Linked DNA regions of Mytilus edulis. The protein of the gene in region 3 purifies or fractionates together with the protein of the main gene of each other region. This does not show direct contact. Links are inferred from orthologs where the notes say so. Each region holds a gene or a part of one and is shown on either strand. Other genes may lie near its edges.

Region 1 (7,945 bases), on a different chromosome or scaffold from region 3:
CCTTATCTGATTTGTCCGCCATTAGAAGATATCACACAGGTTCCTGTAAAATTTTGACGTCATAAAACAAAATATCTGACGTCACAATGGAAAAGTGATTACATGTATATTGTATGCCTGAAAAGGTCAAGCGACCGGGATTTTAAATTTTTAAACTTTTTAATTTTAAAACTTATCCGGAATGGAATAAATAGCGATTAGGTGTATTGTTCATTTTATTGTTTTGTTTAAAATTGTAGGTATGGCAAACCAATGGGAGATAACTCCAAATTACCCTAAATAATTGTTCCCAGATGTGTGTAAATATAAAATCTTTGGGCGACCTCCGATTACAGCCTTCTATTAACTTGTTAAGTCTCAGAAGGTTCTGATTGCTTTTGATAGATATTATATGAATATACATGATTTAGTATATTATAATTTTCGGGAATACATGAAATATTTGAGGTACAAACAAGGGTTTGAAAGTTACATTCGTTTAAAAAAAATACAAGGGAACTTTATACAGCCATAAAATGTATTTTTTTATTAAGTTTAATATATCAATTAAATAATTGGGTCCAATAAATATATCTAGATAGCTGTGTTCATATCAAAATTATTTTTTATAAATAAGCCTCCTTTTTGTGTATACAGAGTTATTTCCCTTGCATGGACAACTTTTGGTTTAGTTTTGATTGGAAATCAGCGGTGATAGGTTGTTTTTTTTTGCATTATACAGCCAGTTTATTGCAATTTAAAGATAGTTCAACCACTTGTCATTGCACATGAGATAGTAAGGATACTGAATAATGTGGTTTAAAACAATCAATATATGTATTTTCAACATGTTCAACTAAAAACATACATAGGAATCCATGCAGTAGTGGCAGTTCACTTCGAATGCTATTCACATTCAATGCATTTTGAACTTCAGTCCTGAATGAGATTGGTTTACAGATTTCACTGTATTAATATTGTAACTGATATACAGATATGAATTTACTTTACTTTTATACATACATGTACAAGTATTTACAGTGATCTGACATAATTATTTTGTTTGAAATTTCTCGAATAAAAAATAATGTTATATTATTTTCATTGTTTTTCAGTGCAACAGGTATTTTAGTCCTGTAGAATAATTGTTAAAAGCTTGTTGTTTATTTTTATTCATAAGCATTTACTATACATGCTATATATAAGAATAAGAATATTTCATTAAATTGAATGTTAATGAAAAGGGAACATTCTAAAACTATCATGACTATACAAAGACAGATGACAATCATGACATATTTCAAAACAATTCTTGTCTCTCATGGTACAACTGATTTTTATAGTTCGTTCTTATGTTGTACTGTGACAGGTCAGGGGAAGGATTGGGCATGCGCTAACATGTTGAACCCCACCACATTCTGTATGTATGTGCCTGTCCAAAGTCAGGAGCCTGTAATTCAGTGGTTGTCGTTTGTTGATGTGTTAAATATTTGTTTTTCGTTCATTTTTTGGACATTAATTAAGCCGTTAGTTTTCTCGTTTGAATTGTTTTACATTTGTCATTTCGGAGCCTTTTATAGCTGACTTTGCAGTATGGGCTTTGCTCATTGTTGAAGGCCGTACGGTGACCTATAGTTATTAATTTCTGTGTCATTTGGTCTCTTGTGGAGAGTTGTCTCATTGGCAATCATACCACATCTTCTTTTTTATACACACACACAATTAAACATATACATTTGTATATATAAAGAGTAATATTCATATTTATATTTTGTTTCTTTACATTCAAATGTTTATAAGTTTTACTTTACATTTTCAATATACCAACTGATGCTCTGAAAAAAGGAATATATAAAGTTATCGTCATGTTATGTGACTTTGAACGATAGAATTTCATGAGAGTGGTTGACATTTTCATGCTTTATGCTTTTATTTTAACCAAAAAACTTAATATGGAGGATTAAAATTGACTAACAAGATGTAAAAGAAGCAATATAAACAAAACTATAACCCAAATGATTAAAAAAAAATATATTTTATTATTTTTTAAAGAGAGGAAACAGTTTTTCCAGAATAGTAAAAAATTTCCATTTTGAAAATTTGCTATTTCTCCGTTGTTATTATGTGTATTGATAAAAGTGTTTTGAAAATGTCTTCACAATGCCTTTAAAATGAGGTTAAGTTTTCTTAGATCAGTTGATTTTAAAAAAATCACTTTCCGTACCTAAAAATTGTGGACAAAATTGCTCTTTCAAAATTTCCATTTTGGAGCCTCCATGGGGGAAATACCCCACAAATAATGTCAGTTGGCAGGTATGCGAACTATCAACATGACACTATTAATTATTCACACTTTCACAGGGTGCGATCGTAAAAGTGAATTTGGGCGAACGGACCCGGATTCCTGTGTAAATGCACTGCATGACGACTAATGTACAGAATAGAATAGAATAGAATATTTTTATTTACCAAATTAGGGCCCCAGGAGGGCATATGATACAGACAATATTTTTATAAACAATAACATATGCAATACACACACAGTAAAGATATGTAACAAGTGTTATAAAAATAATAAAATAAAATAATATAACTCAGAAAATACACTCAACAAAATAGTAGCAATGTATTATTATTCAATGAATACTATGTTGAAAATGACTCAAGTGCACCCGGTAAGTGTATCTTCACTTTGAGAAGACAAACATGAGGCATTAGTAGATCTTAGTAGTTTGTGCGGAGAAATGTCAATATATAAAAAAAAAATACAAAAAAAAAAATACAAAAATACAAAATTATACAAAAAGAACCCAATAAAAAACAAAGTAACACGAACCACATTTTGGCATTTGGAAGACGTTGACAGTTGCTTAGCTTGAAAGCCTATTATCTGTGTTATTCTGGGAGACAGAAGACGTCTAAGCAAAGCCATTTCGTTTTCTTCTATAAAATATTTTGTCCTTCAAAGCAACTACATAGTAAACAATTGTTTAATGGAAAACTCTAGAGAACGTCGAAAAGGGATTACTAGTTTCAGACAAACGGCGTAATCTGTTATTTTAAAAATCTTAATCATTGAAATATGATCTGTGTTGAATATATAGAATGGACGTCACTCCGACCTTATGCAAATCAGAGACATATAATACAATTAATCAATCTCAATAGATATTTTAAATTTGAATTTGAATTTTATTTCGTACCTTATCTTATCTTATCGTATTTGAATGTTCCAAAATCAATATAAAAGTTTTAACGTAACGGTACCCAAATTGCACCGAGTACCCAAATTGCACCTATTAAGCCAAAATAGTAAAAATAATCTAACAAGATTTCCTAGAGACCGTAAACAATTTGTATTTTTATGATCTGATACTATGCACATCTTTCAACATAGGTAAAACTATTTAGATATGCACAAAACGTTCACAGTATTTATCAACAGGTGAAGTGTTTACTAAAAAACTAAAAATTTGTACTGAAACGTCGCCATGCGACGTCATCAAAACGTCATCTTTTTAAAATGATCAAATACAATATGTTACAAGTATCCATTTGAAAAAAAAATAAAGAGTAAGCATGGACTAATATCCAATTGTTCAAAATATTTGAAGAAATTAAACAAAAGCTCTGTTATTAGAATTTTGACAGTGCGAATTTAAGCATGGATGCAATTTGGGTACTCCTCATTTCAGAATCATTGATGGTTTGGAGGTCAGTTTAGACCAATTTTTCTTTGATTCCATATGGATTAAAAATGAAATTGATGTACTTCTATAATAAAGAAGGATACGGTTACAAAATAAACACAGAATGGAAATTTTTGTCTTTATCATAAAAAAACGTAGGTGAAAAAACTGTCAAAATAGGTGCAATTTGGGTACCGTCACGTTATACATATTATGAAACTAATGTAGATCACTGTAAGGCACTTAATATTCAAAGCTTTATTTATAGTCGGCATGTTACATAACAAATAAACATAAGCTCTCTGAGCTTTTATAACCGACAAATGCATACATTTACATAACAAACATACACAATACAAATATTAAAACATAAAAGACATAGAACATACATTTCATGCACATTTAGGCTACACTATTTAAATACTATATTCTATACATGCATAAGAATAAGCACTAAAAGCAAACATAAAAAATAAAGCACAGCATTCATAAATTATAAAAAGCTAAGCAAACATTCACAAAAAGCAGCACTATTATTTTCAAGCTGTAACATAAAATAAATAAAACTAAGCACATGCATTGCAATGGCATGAGTTGCCATTCCATGAGTTTATTAGACTCTTGAATTGGGTAAAAGATGTTTCAGTTCTAAAGTGGTTTGGCAACTCATTCCATAGTTTGGCAGCAGAATATCTGAAAGATTTCAAGCCATACCTTGTTGTTCTTACGTCAGGTATTTCAGCTAAATTTTGGTATCTGAAAGAATATTTTGTTTTTTTAATCTTTATAAGATCATGGAGGTACATTGGGTTTTCATGATTGACTGTTCTAAAGACCTCTATTGCCATGGTTCTTAGGCGTCTTACTTTAAGTGATGGCATTTTTGATTTTAAAAGTAAGTCTTCATATGTGCTATTGTGATCCTGGTAAATGAAGCGAAGTGCTCTTTCTTGTACTTTTTCAATTTTTGTAGTGTTGGCCTCGCTGCAGAAATGCCAGGACAATGAGCAGAAATTAAAGTTTGACATAATAAAGGAGTGATATATTGTTAGTTTTCCAAGTTTGTTTAAGTATTTGCCAAGTCTTTTTAAAACATTTAGTTGTCTGGATGCTTTTTTGCAGATGTTTGATATATGCGTGTTGAAATTTAGTTCAAAGTCAATGGTGATGCCTAATAGTTTGACCTCTTTTTCACATTTTATTTTGTTACCTGCTAGATCAAATGTAATGTTTTTGCCCATTGTTGTTTTGCCAATTGCCAAAGCTTGAAATTTTTCAGGGTTTGCCTTCATTTGATTGGAAGAAAACCATTCTATCAGAGCCAAACTGTCTTTTTCAAGTATGGAGATAACGGTGTTTATATCTCTATTTGCATAAGATAATGTGTTGTCATCAGCATAATTGTAAAATGAACTGTTTGTGGTGAAGTGAAATATGTCATTAATGAAGATGTTAAACAGTATAGGACCTAGAATAGAACCTTGTGGTACTCCTTTATATATGTTTTGCCAATTGCTCAGACTAGAGCCAACTCGAACACATTGTTTCCTGTTAGATAAGTAATTTTTAATGAGTTTTAATGAGGAAGTCGAAAGACCATATGCCTCAAGCTTAAGCAGTAGAAGATCGTGAGGGAGACAATCGAAAGCCTTAGATAGATCCATTAGAATTGAGCCAATAAACTTATTTTGATCAAGTGCCGTTTTCCAGTCTTCGATGATTCTGAGTAGAGTAGCTATATTCGCTGATTATGTATGCTTCTCGTTTGTATTCAGTCTCTAAAATCATCTCATCATAGGATTCTGACTCGGCATATTTTAAAGTCAAAGCCAGAGTCTTACAAGACAATATATCTAATATGAAGTAACCTGCAAGGATTTGCTTCGAAAAATTAATTTACTGTCAAATTTAATTATTCACATGTCTTGGAAAACGGCAAATTACTTTTTCCATAAAAAGCATGATCATAGAAAAATGGTCTTTGAAATGATGACAAATAGTTAAATCATCGAAAATACGTTAAGAACTTATCAAAAATTGAAACGGTAAAGAATGAAACTTCAAAAATATATTTTATGGAATATACCCGTACAATCTCCTTCCCTTTTCACGAATGTGACTAACCGAATTAGACTATTTACCGGATTTGTAATAACATGTGCAACGCGACAGGTGTCACATTTGGACTGCATGATCTGCTTGTATCTGCCTACCCTTCCGTAGTACCTGAGATCACTACCAGGTTTTTGGTGGGGTTCATGTTGCTTAGGCTTTATTTTTCTATGTTGTGTCTTGTCTGTTTGTCTTTTTCTTTTTTATTCATGCCGTTGTCAGTTTGTTTTCGATCTATGAGTTTGACTGTCCCTTTGGTATTTTTCGACCATCCTTTTAAACAGTCCCTGGTCATAATAAGGAAGCTCAAGTTGTACCTATTCACAAAAAAATACGGTAGAAAAAGGTTTTTATAGACCGGTAAAACTTATGTGTTACCGGCCATTTCTACTCTTTTTTTTTTTATGTCACTGAAGTACAATAAGTACGACAGTACTTTGATAATATTTTCAATCTATTTTTTGCAGCTTTTATATCAAGCATTTGATGTCGGTCAATTTTATTAAGAGTGATTGAAGAATGGAAATTAGCCCTATACCAAAATAAATACCTTGCAGCTATCCTGGTGGATTGTGAAAAGCTTTTGACTGCCTCCCTTATGACTGACTACAAATGAAACTAAAATAGTATGGTCTTTAAAAAAAAACTCACTTGATATGTTGTATGGTAATTTCACAACAACAAAAAATCAGTGGGTGAAAGAAAATCAAAATTTTAAGTGGTATGCATGACATATTTAAGGTGGTATGGGATAATGAATTAAAGATGATAGAATGTGTTCATACTTTGCCAAGGCGAAGTATATATTGTGATTCAAAAATATAATCCAAATGATAGGTCACCGAGTTTTTTCTCAAGCTACAGATTGTGAATAAATGACAACATGATTGTGTGCGGATTATACAGGAACAACCATCAGTTTGTGACTAGAAGATAAACTAAATGAAAGAATTGCAGAATATAATACGAGAAGATAGATTTTAGAAAATTATTTCAGAATTTCAAAACAAAGATGGTGTCACCGTACATTTTTTTCCTGAAGTTAATATTAAATAGTAAATTTTTATTAAGAATTGTTCTTTATATGATTATTCTGAGGCCAATACTTTGTCAAAGTCAGTCGGGAAATTCCGTACAAGATGTCATTTATGTTCTTGAGGAAGACGGCAATAATTTAATATTGTGGTTTTCTTCAAACAAAATGCAGGCTACCCAGAGAAATCTCAAGCTATCTCTCTTGTAAAAAACATGGTTTACTTTTATAAATTGTTACTTGGATGGAGAGTTGTCTCATTGGCACTCATACCACATCTTCCTATACCTATCTACATAATAAAAAAAATGTGTTTGGTTTGAACAGTATTTCTATATCGTGTGAGGATGAGGTAAAACTACTTGGACTTACATTTTTTCCCAATTGTTCATGATGTCAAATTTTGACTATGCATTTTTGTGTGGAACAAAATACAAGAACCGGCATAGACGAAAATACTAGAACGAGCTCTTCGTTATATTTATCAAGACCACGGGAACTCGTACGAAACACTCTAACTTGCAGATTTCAAACCTCAGTTACATCACTAAAAGCTCGTAGCCTAAATGCGCTCATTTGAATTCGGGATAACTTTGATATTACAATTAAAAACTGTTCTTTATCCATTCAAGAACTAGTTGTTATAAAACACAACATATATAATATCAAGTATGGGAACACTGCTGGGGTACCTAGACCAAGAACATCAAGTTATGGTATAAGATCTTTTAGTTTTTTAGCAACACAAGTGAAAAAATTCCCTTCCAAATGATATGATATCTTTTGACAACTTTAGGACTTATAAAAATTCCTGGTGTGTGGATCTAGAATGCATCTGCAGTGTGTCTCGTTTCCATCCACTGCTGTCTCATAGCCAATTTTTTTTTTTTTTCTGGCCGTTTGCTCTGCTTTTTATAATGCATTATTATACAGAGATGCTATTAAATGCCAGTGATAATTAAATAAATTTGTCTTATACTTTTTAGTTCGTTAGTATTTTATGATATTTTAGTGATTTGCTGGTTCACTCATTCAATGCACATAGAGGTGTTTGCCGCATGAGAATTGACCGCGGAGGTTCCGAAATCAAAATTAATTACATGCTTTTTTATTCTATTTATTAGTATTTGCA
Region 2 (8,270 bases), on a different chromosome or scaffold from region 3:
GAACAGATCCATGGATGAACAATCCTTATATCCCAATATTTAACTTTGTAGTTGAATAAAAACTAAACACATATCATAGATATAAAGTTCCACTATTTGATAAGTTTGATAACATACCATTCTTTCAGCTGAACTTCCCTTATGCCTTCACCTATATCAGCAAGTTTAAACTGTACTAACTCATGACAAACTGTAAAATATAAATAATTAGAAGCTGTAATGACATTGATAAGCAGAAGTTTCTTGAAATACTATTCTCGGCTCATTAATTGGGTTGTTGTCTCTTTGACATGCTCCCTGTTTTCATTCTCAATTTTAGACAAAAGCAGCAATTGCCAGTTGTCAAATGAAGAGGCCAAGTAATTTGAATGTGTTCATTTGGTAATAATAATAAATAAATAAGAGAAGACTTTAGAAAATATTTAATTTCTTCTAAAGAACAAAAAAAAAAGATGTTATTATTTTTCATAAGGTAACTTAGGTTAAGGAACTTATTTCAATGTATGGTATGTCCATGTACATTTTGTACCTACCTGGAGACGAATGAAAAGTCCTACAGCATACTAGCGGACTGTGACAAATATACTGATTTGTTTTTCTTTGACAAATTGTCCTTGTATGATGTTGATTGCAATTGTTCTTTCTTTTAGATAACTGCAAAATAATGTAAAGAAATTTTTCAGTGCATACATTTATATTAATCAGTTTTTTTCTGAACTGTTCCTTATAACAATGTACAATAACCATGATTACTACCTGTACCACAGTACATGTACCGACATACATGTGATGGACTGTGAAACTCAGATCAGGAGATTTGGAAATTTTGGTCAGGAGATTAGGACTCAGATCAGGAGGTTTTTTATCGACATAAATTTTGTCGTAAATGTAACTGTATGATGTAGAAATTGTGTTTTTTCTTCAAATTTCCATCAAATTGTAATATGTTTATAGTACCTTTATTGCCTTTCTATTTGAATGAAAATAAAATATTAAGAAGAATTTGTTTTGTTTTTGATAATTGATTGTTCACTGCTTGCAAATAAATCATTATATTTTAATTTATTTATCTTATCTGTATAGATTTATATTTCCATCTCCTCATCATTGGTAACTGTATAGACAAATAAGAAAGAAATATGCTATACACTAACAATAGTACTGCATGGTTTTTTTAAAAGCATTATGAAAGTCATATAATTTCTAGAAAACTTTGACTCAAACCAAGGATTTGTATAGTAAGACATTATACTACAGTCTATGCAAAAGTCCACGAGATTCCAATCCTTCTTATTATACAAATCCTTGCTCAAACAGTGTAAGTTTTTTTTTTTATCTTTAGCTAATTCATTAAATTTTATATATAATGACATAAACAATTCTGATCCCAAGGTTCTAATAGGCATAAAACTAACTAGGATTTTTAATCAGCCTTTTTTTTTAAGTCCCAACACATTTAAATTCATTTAAATACCATCCTTTTATGAGTATTTGATTAAAATATCATTCATTTATAGTCTTTTTACATTTTACGTTTTTAAAAGCAAAATAACTTAAAACAGGATAATTCAAAGGGAAGTAATAAAAATGTATTTCAATTATTTCGAATACACAAAGTTTTTATTAAACAACGGCAGTTAGCAGAGGTAAACATCGTTGATTACCAGTAGGTTTGACACCCAAGCTGTCAAGTGAAGCCATATAATTATACATCTTCTTTGATTTACAGGTAAAATTTAACACAGGTGTCAATTGCACCCGTACGGTAGTAAGAATTTATCAAATACGGCGGATGAAAATTTTCATTCATGAAATATTTCATACACGGGAGTTTTTTCTCCTAAACGGGAGGACGGGAGGAGACCACTGAAAACGGGATTATTGTACTCCCGTCGGGAGGTTCACATGTATGTGTACAATAACCATGATTACTACCTGTACCACAGTACATGTACATGTATATCTTTTTATCATTTGTTTTTGTCTAAGAAAATTCTCAATGCTAAAGTTGTTATAGTCTTAGGACACCTACGGGTGCGGGAGTTTCTTGCTACATTGAAGAACCATTGGTGGCCTACGGAAGTCTTCTCTATGGTCAGGTTGTTGTCGCTTTGATACATTCCCCATTTCCTTTCTCAATTTTATTACTAAATTCTGTCTTTAAGAGAAACTCTGCTGTGATACAGATCGTCGACAGTGTTCTAGCCAAGATTTGAAAAGGGCAGGGTGCTAGTCAGAAAAAGGGCAATTTTGCGCATGAATGTCATTGAAAAAAAGGCAATTTACGCGTAAATTTATATCATTTGTTCATGAAACAATTACGATTTTACCGATATTTTAAAGGCAGAAAATGCCAATTTTCTGTGATAAAAACGGAAGGGCGCCAGAGGAACGACAGAAAAAAGGCATTGCGTCAATAAAAAAGGGCATGCGCTGCGCCCTGTTCAAACTCTGTAGTTAGAACACTGGTCGAGTTTGGCATATTTATACACCTTTATTGCTAGTATTTCAAACTCCTGTGAACAGACCAAGGCCGAAACCTCTTGTTACCTCAAGCATAATTTCCAGTGTTTAGTTCAAGCTTTAATTTCACTAAAAACTAGGGGGAGTGTAGCAATCAGTCTGTAATTATTTAGAAAATCTACGAACTATTATTTTGGATAAACTAGATTCCCTTCTTAAAAAAAAGAAGTGAATGAAGCACACACGAAACACAAACTGAATTTACATGGATCCTGGATCGAATAACCGTCTTTTAAAGTGTGTGTATTTAGTCATTGCAATAATAACAACATATTATTTTACAATATTTAACATCTACCGATAATTTTGATTGACTGCAATTGTTTTTAGGGATTGATAAATTCGTACATTATTAAGAAACCTAAACTTTTCCCATTTCAACCTTCGCAAGGCCGTCGATGCCATCTTAAACTGGTTCTTTAGATGTTTGCAAACAGACAGAAGGATGCCATCGGCAGGAACCCAGGTTGAGATAAAACTAAAATTTTTATCGATCCCGATAACAGTATCTGCAAATCCTTTTCCTTTAGATTCTAAAAAATCTATACATGATTATTGCTGCCCCCGAGCAATATTGATTATCTTCTTTTTTTAATAGGTAATATATTTCAACTTCAATTGCTGTCTAATCGTAGAATTTACACGGATTAAGATAAACTACTATTCTGTGTGTTGAAATAGTGTTTTGTGATTGGTTGACTGGGACACACACCCCAACTTTTTCCCATTAAAAATAATTCAATTTATTTATTAATTTTCTTTATTTAATGGGCTCTTGCAAATACGAAACAACTTTTTGGACTTAACCAACTCACGTCCTTGATATTGGCTATCAGATTCATTTCCCATTAGGGAACAACCATTTAACTAAAAATAAAAGGGGGGAGTGGGTTACATTTGTTCTTCTTAGTCAGATTTTTCTTCTTGCGCAAAGTATAAACAATTTTATTTAGTTTTCAACGCAATCAATCAGATTTTTTTTCTTTCAAAATGTTATACTATGAAGTATGGGGGTTTCTGATTTGCATTCAGAATACTGAATTCATGTTCAAATGTGTTGTCATCTGCATGCTTCACCACATTATTTTTTCCCGTCAAAGTGGGGCTCGGAATATTTAGAGAAATTGAAAAACGCAAACATAACACTTGCCCTCCACCACCTGGACGTCGAATTGTTGATTCCTTAGATGTACTGCTCCCCAAAACAACACACGTAGTTTATATTTGTCTTTCCTTCACCCAATAAAATCAGAGACATAGTTTGTATCTCAATGCCGTCATGATGAGATTGTTCTGGCAATTTTAATTTGATTACAAGAAGGAATTGAATTTTTAAAGGGGTATTTCTAATATAGATCAAGGTTTTTGATTCAGTGTTATGTCTTTATTTTTTATGCTGAGATGTGTGTACTTTTGTTTGTCTTTTGATTTCGTCCTTTCTTTTTTTGTCATGGTATTGTTATTTGCTTTTGACTTGTGAATTTAAATATCCCTTCCTATAGCTTTCCTTTAGCAATAAATTTGTATCCGATATCGCGTAATATTTTTTCAGTTTTTGAGTGTAAAATTCTCCAATTATTTGATCATATATGATTTTGGAAAAAAGAGTCGGGCTTTAAAAAATATTTTTATAAATTTCCGTGTGTGTATATGATCTGCATACGAAGCCACATATGAAGCCTGGGTTGGTAATTGATAATCGTAAACAGCAAATTAAAGTCAACACTGTTCTGAGTGGTTGTGCTAATATCCATAAAGGCGTGTCACAGGGTTCTTTACTAGGGCTATTGTTGTTTAACATATTTATAAATTATATTTTTCTTTTTGTTAAAAATGGTAGTTTACATCACTATGCAGATGGTAATCTGTACTCCAGATTCTGATTTATTAATTTCAACTTTGGAATCTGAGTCAAAATACTTATTGAGTGGTTCCGGGTAATTAAAATGCAAGCAAATCCCGACAAGTTTCAAGTTTTGGCTGTTGGCAAAAAGACCTTTGACCTTTGACCATCTATACATATTCAAATTTCGAACCTTACATACATGTGAAAAACAGTAAAATTATTAGGCATTGAAATTGACCATCAGTTAAATTTTGATGTTCATGTCAGCTCAATCTGTAGAAGGGCATCAAGGCAATTAAATGTTTTTAAACGTTAAGGCTTAGTTTTGGTTAGACTTAGTAAACTTATTATTTTTCATACTTTTATTCTAAGTAATTTGATTTTTTCCCTTTGGTATGGCATTTTTACACTGAGAGAAATTCCAAAAAACTAGAAAAGGTGCAGGAAAGAGCACTTCGTTTCGTATATGAGGATTTTACCAGCTCCTATGAGGTCTTCTAACTTACTGAGGCTAAGGTGCCCTCCGTGCAGATCAGACGGATAAGAACAATGGCTCTAGAAACTTTTAAGATTATAAACAATATGGCTCCTGTGTGCTTACACAATTTGGTGAGTGTCAAAGAAATTTAAAAGTATTCTTTTCTCGCTGCATTGAATACCCATTGGTGACGACGGCTGTTGTCTGCATAGCAGACAGATATGATCGGGTTGTTGTCTCTTTGACACATTTCCATTCTCAATTTTATTTCAGGTATGTAAATATTCTGGAAATTCCGTAGGTAAAGCCAACCCGTTACGGTAAAAAAAAACTTTCAAATTTGCTGCTGCTACTTTATGGAACAGCCTTCCAAACCATTTCAGGACTGAAAATAGTTTTTTTCACATTTTTAAATAGATATAGGAAGATGTGGTGTGAGTGCCAACGAGATAACTCTCAATTGTCCCTTGTTTTGTATAGTGTTGTACGGTGAATAGTAACTGATTACATCCTTGTCCCTTGTTTTTCATTGTGTTGTACGATGAATTGTAGTTGATTACATCTTTGTCCCTTGTTTTGTATAGTGTTGTACGTGAATAGTAGTTGATGACATCATTGTCCCTTGTTTTGTATAGTGTTGTACGGTGAATTGTAGTTGATGACATCATTGTCCCTTGTTTTGTACAGTGTTGTACGGTGAATTCACGGTAGTTGATGACATCATTGTCCCTTGTTTTGCATAGTGTTGTACGGTGAATTGTATAGTTAATGACATCATTGTCCCTTGTTCTGTATAGTGTTTTACGGTGAATTGTAGTTGATTACATCCTTGTCCCTTGTTTTTCATTGTGTTGTACAGTGAATTGTAGTTGATTACATCCTTGTCTCTTGTTTTTCATTGTGTTGTAAGGTGAATTGAAGTTGATGGCATCCGTGTCCATTGTATATATCATTGTGCTGTACAGTGAATTGTAGTTGATGGCATCAATTTCACTTGTTTTTCATTGTGTGGTGCGGTGAATTGCACTTTATACATCCTTGTCCCTTGATCTTTTAATCGATAGTTGTCCAATTTGCAAACATATCTAGAGAGACCTTTAGACACAGCATAAGAAACAATTTGAAAAAAAAAACCAGAAGGAAATCTTTTCCATATAGAACCAAAGAGCTTAGTACCATCCCCTCCCCATCGAGGTTATTGATTTTCTAAATATATTTACTTTAAAAAATTAAAAAAGATCCCCGAACTTCACCATGACAACAACAATGTTCCAAATACAATTTTTGGTTCGTTCTATTTCTTATAAGTCATTGAACCTTCTCCTCCGTCTGCATTCTTGTAAAGGTTTAAAAGTACAAGAGCCAAACTATAATTACTTTTTATTGCACATACAAAACTTAAATATCAGCTTGCACCTGCTCTCTCTGTTATACACATTCCGTACATAAATAAATTTCTTAAAATATAACTGTATAAAAAACACCATTTATATGTATATGAATAAAAATGTCTGGATTACACGTATATGTGTTGTTGTAAACAATATTTCATGATGAATAATCATAAACAAGTATAATTATAAACACATTCACAATAAGGATTCACTGAGACACAAGCAACTCGTGATTATACTAATCCGTCAAGCAACAAAGTGCTTATTTTGATCCGTCTTCTAATCCGTGTATGTATTCCCTGAGAATCGTTTTAAAAACACTAAATTACAAAACAATCCTAGTCCTTTTTTACATCAAACAGGATCCATCCCAACAGATCGTCTTAACTGTTCAAATATAAAGAATGATATAACAGTATGAGGACCAATTCTCATCCAGTTCGGTATAAACCCTTTATAAAGTCCTAAAAATCCTTCTGTTTTGACAATCTTCATCAAACAATCAAACGTCCCCTTATAAACCTTCTCGTGGTGATCTGAAAAACATAACAAATACCTAAAATTCCACATTGACCACACAACTTTCTTTTTAATATAGATAATGTGTGGAATACCCATTTTATTTTGTTACTTATTTATTTATTTGTGATATCACAATGATCATGTTATCCATAGTCCGAGATTACTCTTACGTCCAATGGCTGTTTTGACAGACAGGCTGGGGCAGCTTGTCTGGCAAAACAGCCGTTGTACGTTAGTGTAATCTCGGAGCTTGTCTGGCAAAACAGCCGTTGGAAGTCAGAGTAATCTCACACTGTTTGTTATCTCGGACTGTTTGTTTGGCAAAACAGCCGATGGACGTCAGAGTAATCTCGGACTAGCTATCAAATGATTACGCGGAAACGGGAATAATCATAAAATGTATAACTTGCTTTGCCATGTTTGTGCAGTGCTTACTGTTCTTTTCTTATTGTAATGCATCAGAATCGGAATAACAGTACTGTAGTTGAAGAGTTGCCACCGTCAATTTTGACTTGACGGTCGCAAATCTCCGTTTTCACTGTCTCCGCTACGCGTCGCCAGTAAAACTGCATTCGCGACCGTCAAATCTGCAATTGACAGTGGCAACTCTTCAACTACAGTACTGTTATTCCTTAATTTTAGGTTTTATTGCATGAATATTTTTCTATGCTGTTGCATATGTTTGTATGTATCCAGTTAAATTCTCTCTAGAGCTTACTAACAACACCGAATCTAAATAAAGTTTTTGCATTCAGTGTTAAACATCCATGTTCGGTAAATCAATTTTGAAACAAAAGAAATCATTAAGTTTTTAAGGAATACTTTAACACATTGTGCAATATTTATAATTGTTTGTGACAATAAACTAAACATCATCACAACATATATATATATATATAGATATAAAGAATAAATAACCGACAAACATAAAGAAAAAATGCCTTATGGACATGTAACTCTTATATTTGGAACAACGGAAGTATGTATACATACTATATTACAAGTACCCCGGTACGTAAATTTATACTTTAATGCCATGTAATGAAGTGTCATGGGAATTATAAAATATACTATAGATAATCAAACAACTCGGAAAGTAAATAGTGCTTCTTACGTTCATATTTCTGGTTCATGATTCTGGTTTTGACGACATCTACTGGCGAGGTTGTAAGTGCAGCCATGAAACCAGCTACCATAGATGATATAATATGTAATAGTGGCCCTTCGTCCATCCATTTCAAGTTTAGTATCGTGTGTTTAGTATGGTCATAGCTTGGGATCTATATATGGAGAGAGAGAAAAAAACATGAAAAGCAGTGAACTAGCAGTTGGTAGTAGCATAACTCTGTTTTGAGTGTCTTTTCTCCCACTAATATATCCTGCATTTGTTTATTTCTTGTAAGAATTTTACACGAGACATTAAAACTTCATGATTTTATCAAACAGTTTATGACGTCTGCACACAAGATCCGTAGGCTGGTACTGATTGATACTATATAGTTTCCCT
Region 3 (7,504 bases):
ATAAATAGTTAAGTTTATCTTACATGTCTTGATCAGGACTCTCACTCATAGAACTTGAAATATTCTTTATTATTTGAATACAAATTTTTATTGGATTTAGTGGGTATAGATAACAAAGAAAATTAAGCGATCAATAAACTGCAAATTTACTATAAGTAATTATTTTAGTTTGTATGCAGACCTAAACTTTGGCAAAACCAAAAAAATAGAATATAAATGAAAATTCATTATTGGTTTTGTCAAATAGGATGAATCCAAATCTTAAGTAAAATATGTACCTGTCTTCATTTACTTTTCTACGTCCAAGAAGTGAATCGATGCCAACATGTTCAAATGGAATTTCTGGAATCAGATTTCCTCTTTTAATACTCTCGTTCATCATAATTGGCATATCTAATCTATTATTCCATGACCCCAACGTGTCAAAATTCACTCCCCTTTGTTGACCTCCTTTGTTTTCTGGGTCAGTAAGAGGAGTTCCATAGTGCCTCTTTACTGTGTGTTGCAAGTTAAGTTCTTGATGTTTTAAGAACCTGTTGTCCCTTTCACCAGAGAACTGTTTTATACTACAAATGGTTCTTGAGCACTGACAAATACTTGGGAAATATCTACAGCATGATGACAGCATTGTAGTTTTCAATATCTGATACCTTTGTTCTAGATATTATATCCCTCTTAAACTGGCACCTACATGTATAGAATTATCCCCCTTAGTAGTTAAATATTACAGTTGAACCTGCTTAAGTTTCAATCTTTTCATCCCAACTTCTGATCATGTACAATTAACATAAAGAACCTGAAAAATATAATTTTAAAAATAAAAGAACAGTAATCAATTGCACTGATGAGATACACATTTATTTACCTTGAGACAACTTTAATACAATGGAATTTTCTATATATTTATTTTGATTTTCAAACTACAATGAGCTAAGAGCCATAACTCCTGTTAAATAGTTTTTCTTCACTGATTTTTAAACACTTCAAAGACATTCCTGATCTAAAAAATAAACCTTTGTTATTGACTTTAGGTTAATATTATTTATTCTATACATGCATGGTAACATAAAGTAAATAACTTTTTCAAATATTTCATACATCTCCCTGCCATGACTGCTATAAAGTTGAGTGACTTCAAGTTCATTAACTTGTGAATTTTTTTTAACCCTTTCCTCCATAATGACGCTTTTTGATGCCACCCCCTTTACTCCATAATGATGCCTTTTGACGCCTGTGTAGTACCTCAGTTGAAACGCTTTGATTACAAAATGTCTGCATCAGACTTAAAAAAGTTTGTATCCAATATGAAAAGGATATTCATGAGAATATCTGACTTGAATTTCATTGAAGAAATATTCGTTTTTCATAATGCATTATAACTTTAAAGCTGATGATTTTTTTTTATTGAAAAAATCCTATGCGAATCAAGTATGTGAGAAAAAAAAATCCATGAAGGAAAGGGTTAACAGAGTAAATTTATGATCATGATCATGATGATCATTGAATAATAAACCTGATAAAATACCACTATAATTTTTTATTATTTTAAATAATCACTTTGCTCTTATCATATTATAAGAGCAAAGTGATTAGTTAAAATAAAGTCTTATGAGGGCACAATCATTCAAATTTAGTTATGACTACAAGCATGACAAGACAAAATATACAAATCTAAAATTGATTTCAATAATAAACATGATAAAGTTGATCAAAACATGCAGCATATTGTGTTTGTACATTTATTATTTAAGCAGTTGAGAAACATGAGAACAGAACTGCTTAAAATAAACATACATTGTGTTCTAGCGATTAAAACAAAACAGGATTTCATTTAAAATACAAACATTTCATATAATCAGGATAATAACAAAAATATATATATTAAACAAGACAATGGAGACAGCTCCAGTCAGGCTTCTGTGATTCCCTATATAAGCAACCAAATTTTTTCCCAAAAAGGGGGGGGGGGGCATGGACCCCCCTAAATCCGCCTCTGGTGGTGTGAGTGCCAATGAAACAACTCTCCATCAGAATTTATAAAAGTAATTCATTATAGGTCAATGTACAGCCTTTCCTCTACCAGGAATACAGCTGGGCATTTAGCGGTATCGGTTTGGATTCCAAGTATGTCCTCTCCGGTTTCCTGTTCGTTGTCTAGGCATTTGTGCGGCATCCGGGGTGACCTTATCCCTTATTTTGTATATAATGTTTTTTTTATATTATGTTTTTTTTATATTTTTGAGGATGAGCGAGTCAGGTGAGTGGGTGTGTTCGTATGCTTTATTACATTGTACTTATTGTTTTGGGAAGGTTAACTTTCTGGCTGTAAGACCCGTCACGGCCAGGCTGGGAGACTGGATAGGCAAATGCTCACATTAAATCTGTACCGATACAGTGTGTTAAATGTCTTCCTTTTTACACCATAACCCATGGTGGTGCTCCTACTAAAGGAGGGAGCTACGGAACATACATACATACAGCAAAAGAATATTTATTAACTATTACTAGTGCAGTGTAGATGAATAAGTAAACAGGTCATATATTTAACTGGAAAATGTAATTCGTGCAGATTGCTTAATCTACCCCTCTACTGTCATATTGGAATGAGATCTCTATCTTTGAAGGTTTCATATGTAGGCAGGTACATGTATGTCATGTATGCATTAGTGGCAAGGTTTCGGTGCAAAATATAGTTGAATGGGGTTTATCTATATAATAGAGTAGCTAAATCAGGACACAAATTCCCAAACACCCAAACGGATTGTCAGAAAACCTTTGACATGCCAGAAAATCTGGAATAAACTCAGCTTCCTCCAGATCAGGAAAGGGAACACTGTACACCGGTTCACCAAACTACCAGATTGGCTAATTTAGCTTGATTTTTCTTTTTGGAGACCCGTTTAGACCGGTTGAGGGATCCATTTGGAAGTCTGAACTGACGATGCAGCCCCTAATGTTTGATAACATTACATTAGCTTTGAAATCAGCAAACATTTTCATTTGTTACCTTTTAAACAATGTTGTCTAATCTTCTCACTGTATTGATCCAAATAAACGACAAAACATTGCGCAAAAAGACTAAATTTTGATCCTGTTTACATTTATTCAAAACACTTTTTAGACTTTGATTCGAAATATTAAAAAAATAAAAACAAAACAATCACGGAACAGATAATAAGTTTCGGAATATCAGACGGAATTAAAAGACAATAAAATCTTATCACTTGTATCTGGATACAGTATATCTAACTTTAATATATGTTCCTGCTTGTATTCAAATGTCTTTGGTTTATGACATTAAGAGAGTACTTTTTAAGTCATAATCAGCCAAAACTGAACATGCATTAGGACCGAGCAAAGATAGTTTTTTGTTTGGGGGGGGGGGGGGGGGGGGGGGGGTACAGTTTTCTATAGACTATACCACTGACAGTCACATATAACATGTAAAGTTAATGTTCAAGAGCAAATATAGCGTCTAGCCATTAGAAATGATAAATATATTCATCCAAACAGCTCGAATAAACACATGAGCTAGCCGCAGTATACACAAGCACATCTTATAAATAAGTACATAAAATACATTAAAATTCATAACTAACACAGTTGTATGCGGCGGGTGGGAGGGTAAATAATTTCAATGAAAAATTTCAAATGTACCGCGAATCCCGAAACAAAGAAATATATATGAGCGTCCTGTATCCAGGTAACAAATTGACCAATCAAAATAAGGAATACTCGGAACAATTTCTTCCGAGTAAATGTAAACAGTGATTCACGTGGTAATTATCCATTTTTATAAAATCAAAAATTACACAACCAGTATATATATATATATGTATGAATTAAGAAAAACAAAACATTTCTATTACATTTTTAGATCATATTTTCTTTTTCACATTCGATACTATTCGGTTATATGATATCTGTTTCACCATCTATAAAAGCAATGTAAAAAGGGAAATTATTAGCCGTGTATGAAAATCAGATTAACAAGCTTACGCTGTTTGACGGAGAGACAAATAGATTTGACAGATATCTGATGTTTTCATAACTGTAGTTTTCATTGCATTTGAAAAGAAACACAATATATGATTAAAATTTAGAATGGAAATGGGAAATATGTCAAAAGACAACAACCCGACCAAACAGCACACATTAAGTTGTCTACTTCATGAGGCACATAGAGTAAAACATGAAAGCAATATATCTTATCAACAATTTCCGTTACTTCTATATGAAACGCAGATGTTATATTTCAAATCTACTCCCACTATATTAGATCACTGCAAACAAACATATACTGACCACCACATAGCCAAGGATAAATTTCAAACCATTCAAAGTGTTCTTGTGTGCGAGTAAACTTTCGATCAGTTTATTTGAATACAAATATGAAATTAAGGCTATATATATTAGTGATACAGAAATGTATGTCAAGTTTCAAATTCATGACTCCTTTCACCGAAAAAAACACGGACTTCGAATATGTAAAATAGGCAATATACAAATTTGGATATACATTTCACAATTCTTTTTGTATTGTGCAATACGATTAGTTGCACTCTACGTGAAAGTGGTGTCCCAGTTGGCCTGCTTTTATTTCAATTATAAGACATTGGTCTTTAAAAATCACAGTCTATATTGTAGTAGTTTAAGTCGGAATTACTATAGAATGATGTACTGAATAGTAAGTGAATAAGTTCACGATAGAATAATAATCTTTCGACTAGGTATATTGCCGAACACTTAAATTGACTCGAGTTCGTTTTTGTGTCGTTGAATTGCTGTCAAATAGACACATACCCTAGATGTGTTTTAAAAGAAGATATGGTATGCATGTCAATGCAACAACTCTACACAAGAGACCAAGTGACACAGAAAGTAACACCTATAGGTCAACCTACGGCCTTCAATAATAAACAAAGATTATATCTCACAGTCAGCTACAATTAAGAGAAGGCTAACGCCGCTACAAGACAGCACTCGCAACCTCAAAGTGGAAAGGGATTAATATAAATTACAAAACTTGTTTCCCAATCCACTATAAATGAATATGTTTAAAATTAAAAGGCCTATAAATGAAAAATATCAAACGATCCTAAACGAGAAAAGTAACTGCCTAAATTGTGTACAAAATAATAAACTAAACAAATATATAGCACAGTAACAAACGACAACCACCAAATTACAGGCTCCTTGGTGACCTGGGTCAGCCACATACAGAATGTGGCGGGTTTAAAGATGTTAGCATAAACCCAACCACCGCTTAACCTGGAACAATGGTGTTACAGTATACAATAAAAAAAAAACACACTATAAAATCAAGTTTAACAATGCTGTAATTCCGCATCAGGTTCAAACAAGTAGAAATACATCTAACAAATAAAATTGAGAATGGAAATGGGGAATGTGTCAAAGAGACAACAACCCGACCAAATAAAAAACAACAGCAGAAGGTCACCAACAGGTCTTCAACGTAGCGAGAAACTCCCACAGTATTCAATCATAATTATGCTGGGCAACATTGATAATTTCAAACTATAGATTTTATTTCTCCCCTTCTAATTATAAAGTTATAATATTGAAAAGGAAATTAAAGGAAATTAATGTTTATATTATGGTATTAATGAATGGGTGTTTTTATAATGGCCCTGTTATATGTCCAAGGTCTGTAATAATGGTCGAGGAAGTCTGTAATGGCCCGAGGCAAAGCCAAGGGCTATTACAAACATCCGAGGCCATTATTACTGACCGAGGACATATAACAGGGCCATTATAAAAACACCCATTTATTAATACATTTATTAACCAACTGAACAAAAGTGTATGTGTTGCTGCTAACTTGATGTACCGTCTTACTCTTTTAATGACAGTTTAGTTTGAACAAAATAATTTGTACTTCACCATTATAAAGCTTTAAATATACCAAATATCCAAGATATTAAGTTGAAAGAGATATGTGTTAAAAAACCGGATGAACAGTGATCCTCTTATATGGTTCTTTAATGTTGGTTGCTGGTTACTAAATTAAATAAAATACAAAAAGGTATTATACTCTTTACAACTTAGTTTTATTAACTTTATCCAAAAACCCAAACAGGGCTTAATACAGACAAACTGGGCATTAATACAGGGCCATTACAGAAAAACAGGGCCATTACAGAAAATATGTAATTTTTAATAAACAGTCACTTTTGGCAGTAATGCACTTAGTTGGTTAATAATACTTTATAATAATCCCTCGTTCATATACTATTTCATTGATGAAATGAGAAAATATGAGCTTTTAAAGACCCATTTACTCAGTTTTCTTTGAAAATAGGGAGGTGGGAGATACCAAGAAAATAAACTGACAACTCCATGACTAAACTAGAGACTCTAAAGAGCCTATGTCGCTCACCTTGGTCTATGTGCATACTTGTATTAAACAAAGGATTCCGATGGATTCATGACAAAATGGTGTTTTGATGATAGTGATGTGTTTGTAGATCTTACTTTACTGAACATTCTTGTAACTTACAATTTTCTCTATCTATAATAAACTTTGCCCTTTAGTTACAGAGGAAAATATTTTGTAAAACAATTGACTTGATAAACAATTTAACCCCTCGTCAGATTTGCTCTAAATGCGTAGGTTTCAGAGTTATAAGCCAAAATCTACATTTTACCCCTATGTTCTATTTTTAGCCATGGCGACCATCTTGGTTGGTTGGCCGGGTCAACAAACACATTTTTTAACTAGACACTCCAATGATGATTGTTGCCAAGTTTGGTTAAATTTGGCCCAGTAGTTTCAGAGGAGAAGATTTTTGTAAAAGATTACAAAATATTACAAAAATTGGTAAAAAATTACTTTAAAGGGCAATAACTCCTTAAGGGGTTAACTGACCATTTTGGTCATTTGACTTATTTGTAGATTTTACTTTGCTGAACATCATTGCTGTTTACAGTTTATCTCTATCTATAATAGTAGTTAAGTTAATAACCAAAAACGGCAAAATTTCATTAAAATTACCAAACCAGGGGCAGCAACCCAACAACGGGCTGTCCAATTCATCTGAAAATTATAGGGCAGATAAATCTTCACTTGATGAACAATTTTATTGCGTTAGATTTGCTCTAAATGCTTTAGTTTCAGAGGAGAAGATTTTGTAAAAGTTAACGACGACGGACGCCGGACGCAAAGTGACGAGAAAAGCTCATTTGGCCCTTCGGGCCAGGTTAGCTAAAAAGACAATGACCAACAGACAGAAGAGAGAACACATCATAGTAGGTAAAGACCGAGAAACATGAACTCCACCGAAAACGGGGGTTGATCTCAGATGCTCCTGAAGGGCATACGTTCAACGATGCTCACCGAAACTTAAATAAACAATACTTGCTGAAAATGGTATGTCTTGAGTTTAATTCTGGTAAACAAAATACTAATTATACCATTGCTTGTGAATTTAAGCTATGCCGCTTTAAACCTTAGTATGAGCAACAATACGCACCAAAGTTGACG

What was found. Proteins that work in one complex are often made in the same cells at the same time.
Region 1: the proteins of protein phosphatase 1K, mitochondrial-like (region 3) and 2-oxoisovalerate dehydrogenase subunit alpha, mitochondrial-like purify together in Homo sapiens (affinity purification with mass spectrometry; 4 studies listed by BioGRID and IntAct, counting the BioPlex papers as one, with this or other methods). This does not show direct contact. The link is inferred for Mytilus edulis from reciprocal best matches to the Homo sapiens genes PPM1K and BCKDHA.
Region 2: the proteins of protein phosphatase 1K, mitochondrial-like (region 3) and lipoamide acyltransferase component of branched-chain alpha-keto acid dehydrogenase complex, mitochondrial-like purify together in Homo sapiens (affinity purification with mass spectrometry; 4 studies listed by BioGRID and IntAct, counting the BioPlex papers as one, with this or other methods). This does not show direct contact. The link is inferred for Mytilus edulis from reciprocal best matches to the Homo sapiens genes PPM1K and DBT.

What each region holds. Positions count from the first base shown.
Region 1 is NC_092346.1:74,984,870-74,992,814, forward strand, and holds the start of 2-oxoisovalerate dehydrogenase subunit alpha, mitochondrial-like, read right to left. Parts: upstream 3,001-7,945; 5' UTR 2,912-3,000; coding exon 2,816-2,911; intron 79-2,815; exon of another isoform or gene 23-78; coding exon of another isoform or gene 2-22; intron 1-1. UniProt on the Homo sapiens protein: Together with BCKDHB forms the heterotetrameric E1 subunit of the mitochondrial branched-chain alpha-ketoacid dehydrogenase (BCKD) complex.
Region 2 is NC_092344.1:17,375,038-17,383,307, forward strand, and holds the start of lipoamide acyltransferase component of branched-chain alpha-keto acid dehydrogenase complex, mitochondrial-like, read right to left. Parts: upstream 3,001-8,270; 5' UTR 2,929-3,000; coding exon 2,872-2,928; intron 655-2,871; coding exon 534-654; intron 191-533; coding exon 118-190; intron 1-117. Other genes in the region: mitochondrial substrate carrier family protein ucpB-like, read right to left, coding at 6,596-6,777, 7,878-8,043. UniProt on the Homo sapiens protein: The branched-chain alpha-keto dehydrogenase complex catalyzes the overall conversion of alpha-keto acids to acyl-CoA and CO(2).
Region 3 is NC_092357.1:7,377,410-7,384,913, reverse strand, and holds the start of protein phosphatase 1K, mitochondrial-like, read right to left. Parts: upstream 3,158-7,504; 5' UTR 3,008-3,157; intron 797-3,007; 5' UTR 629-796; coding exon 279-628; intron 1-278. UniProt on the Homo sapiens protein: Serine/threonine-protein phosphatase component of macronutrients metabolism.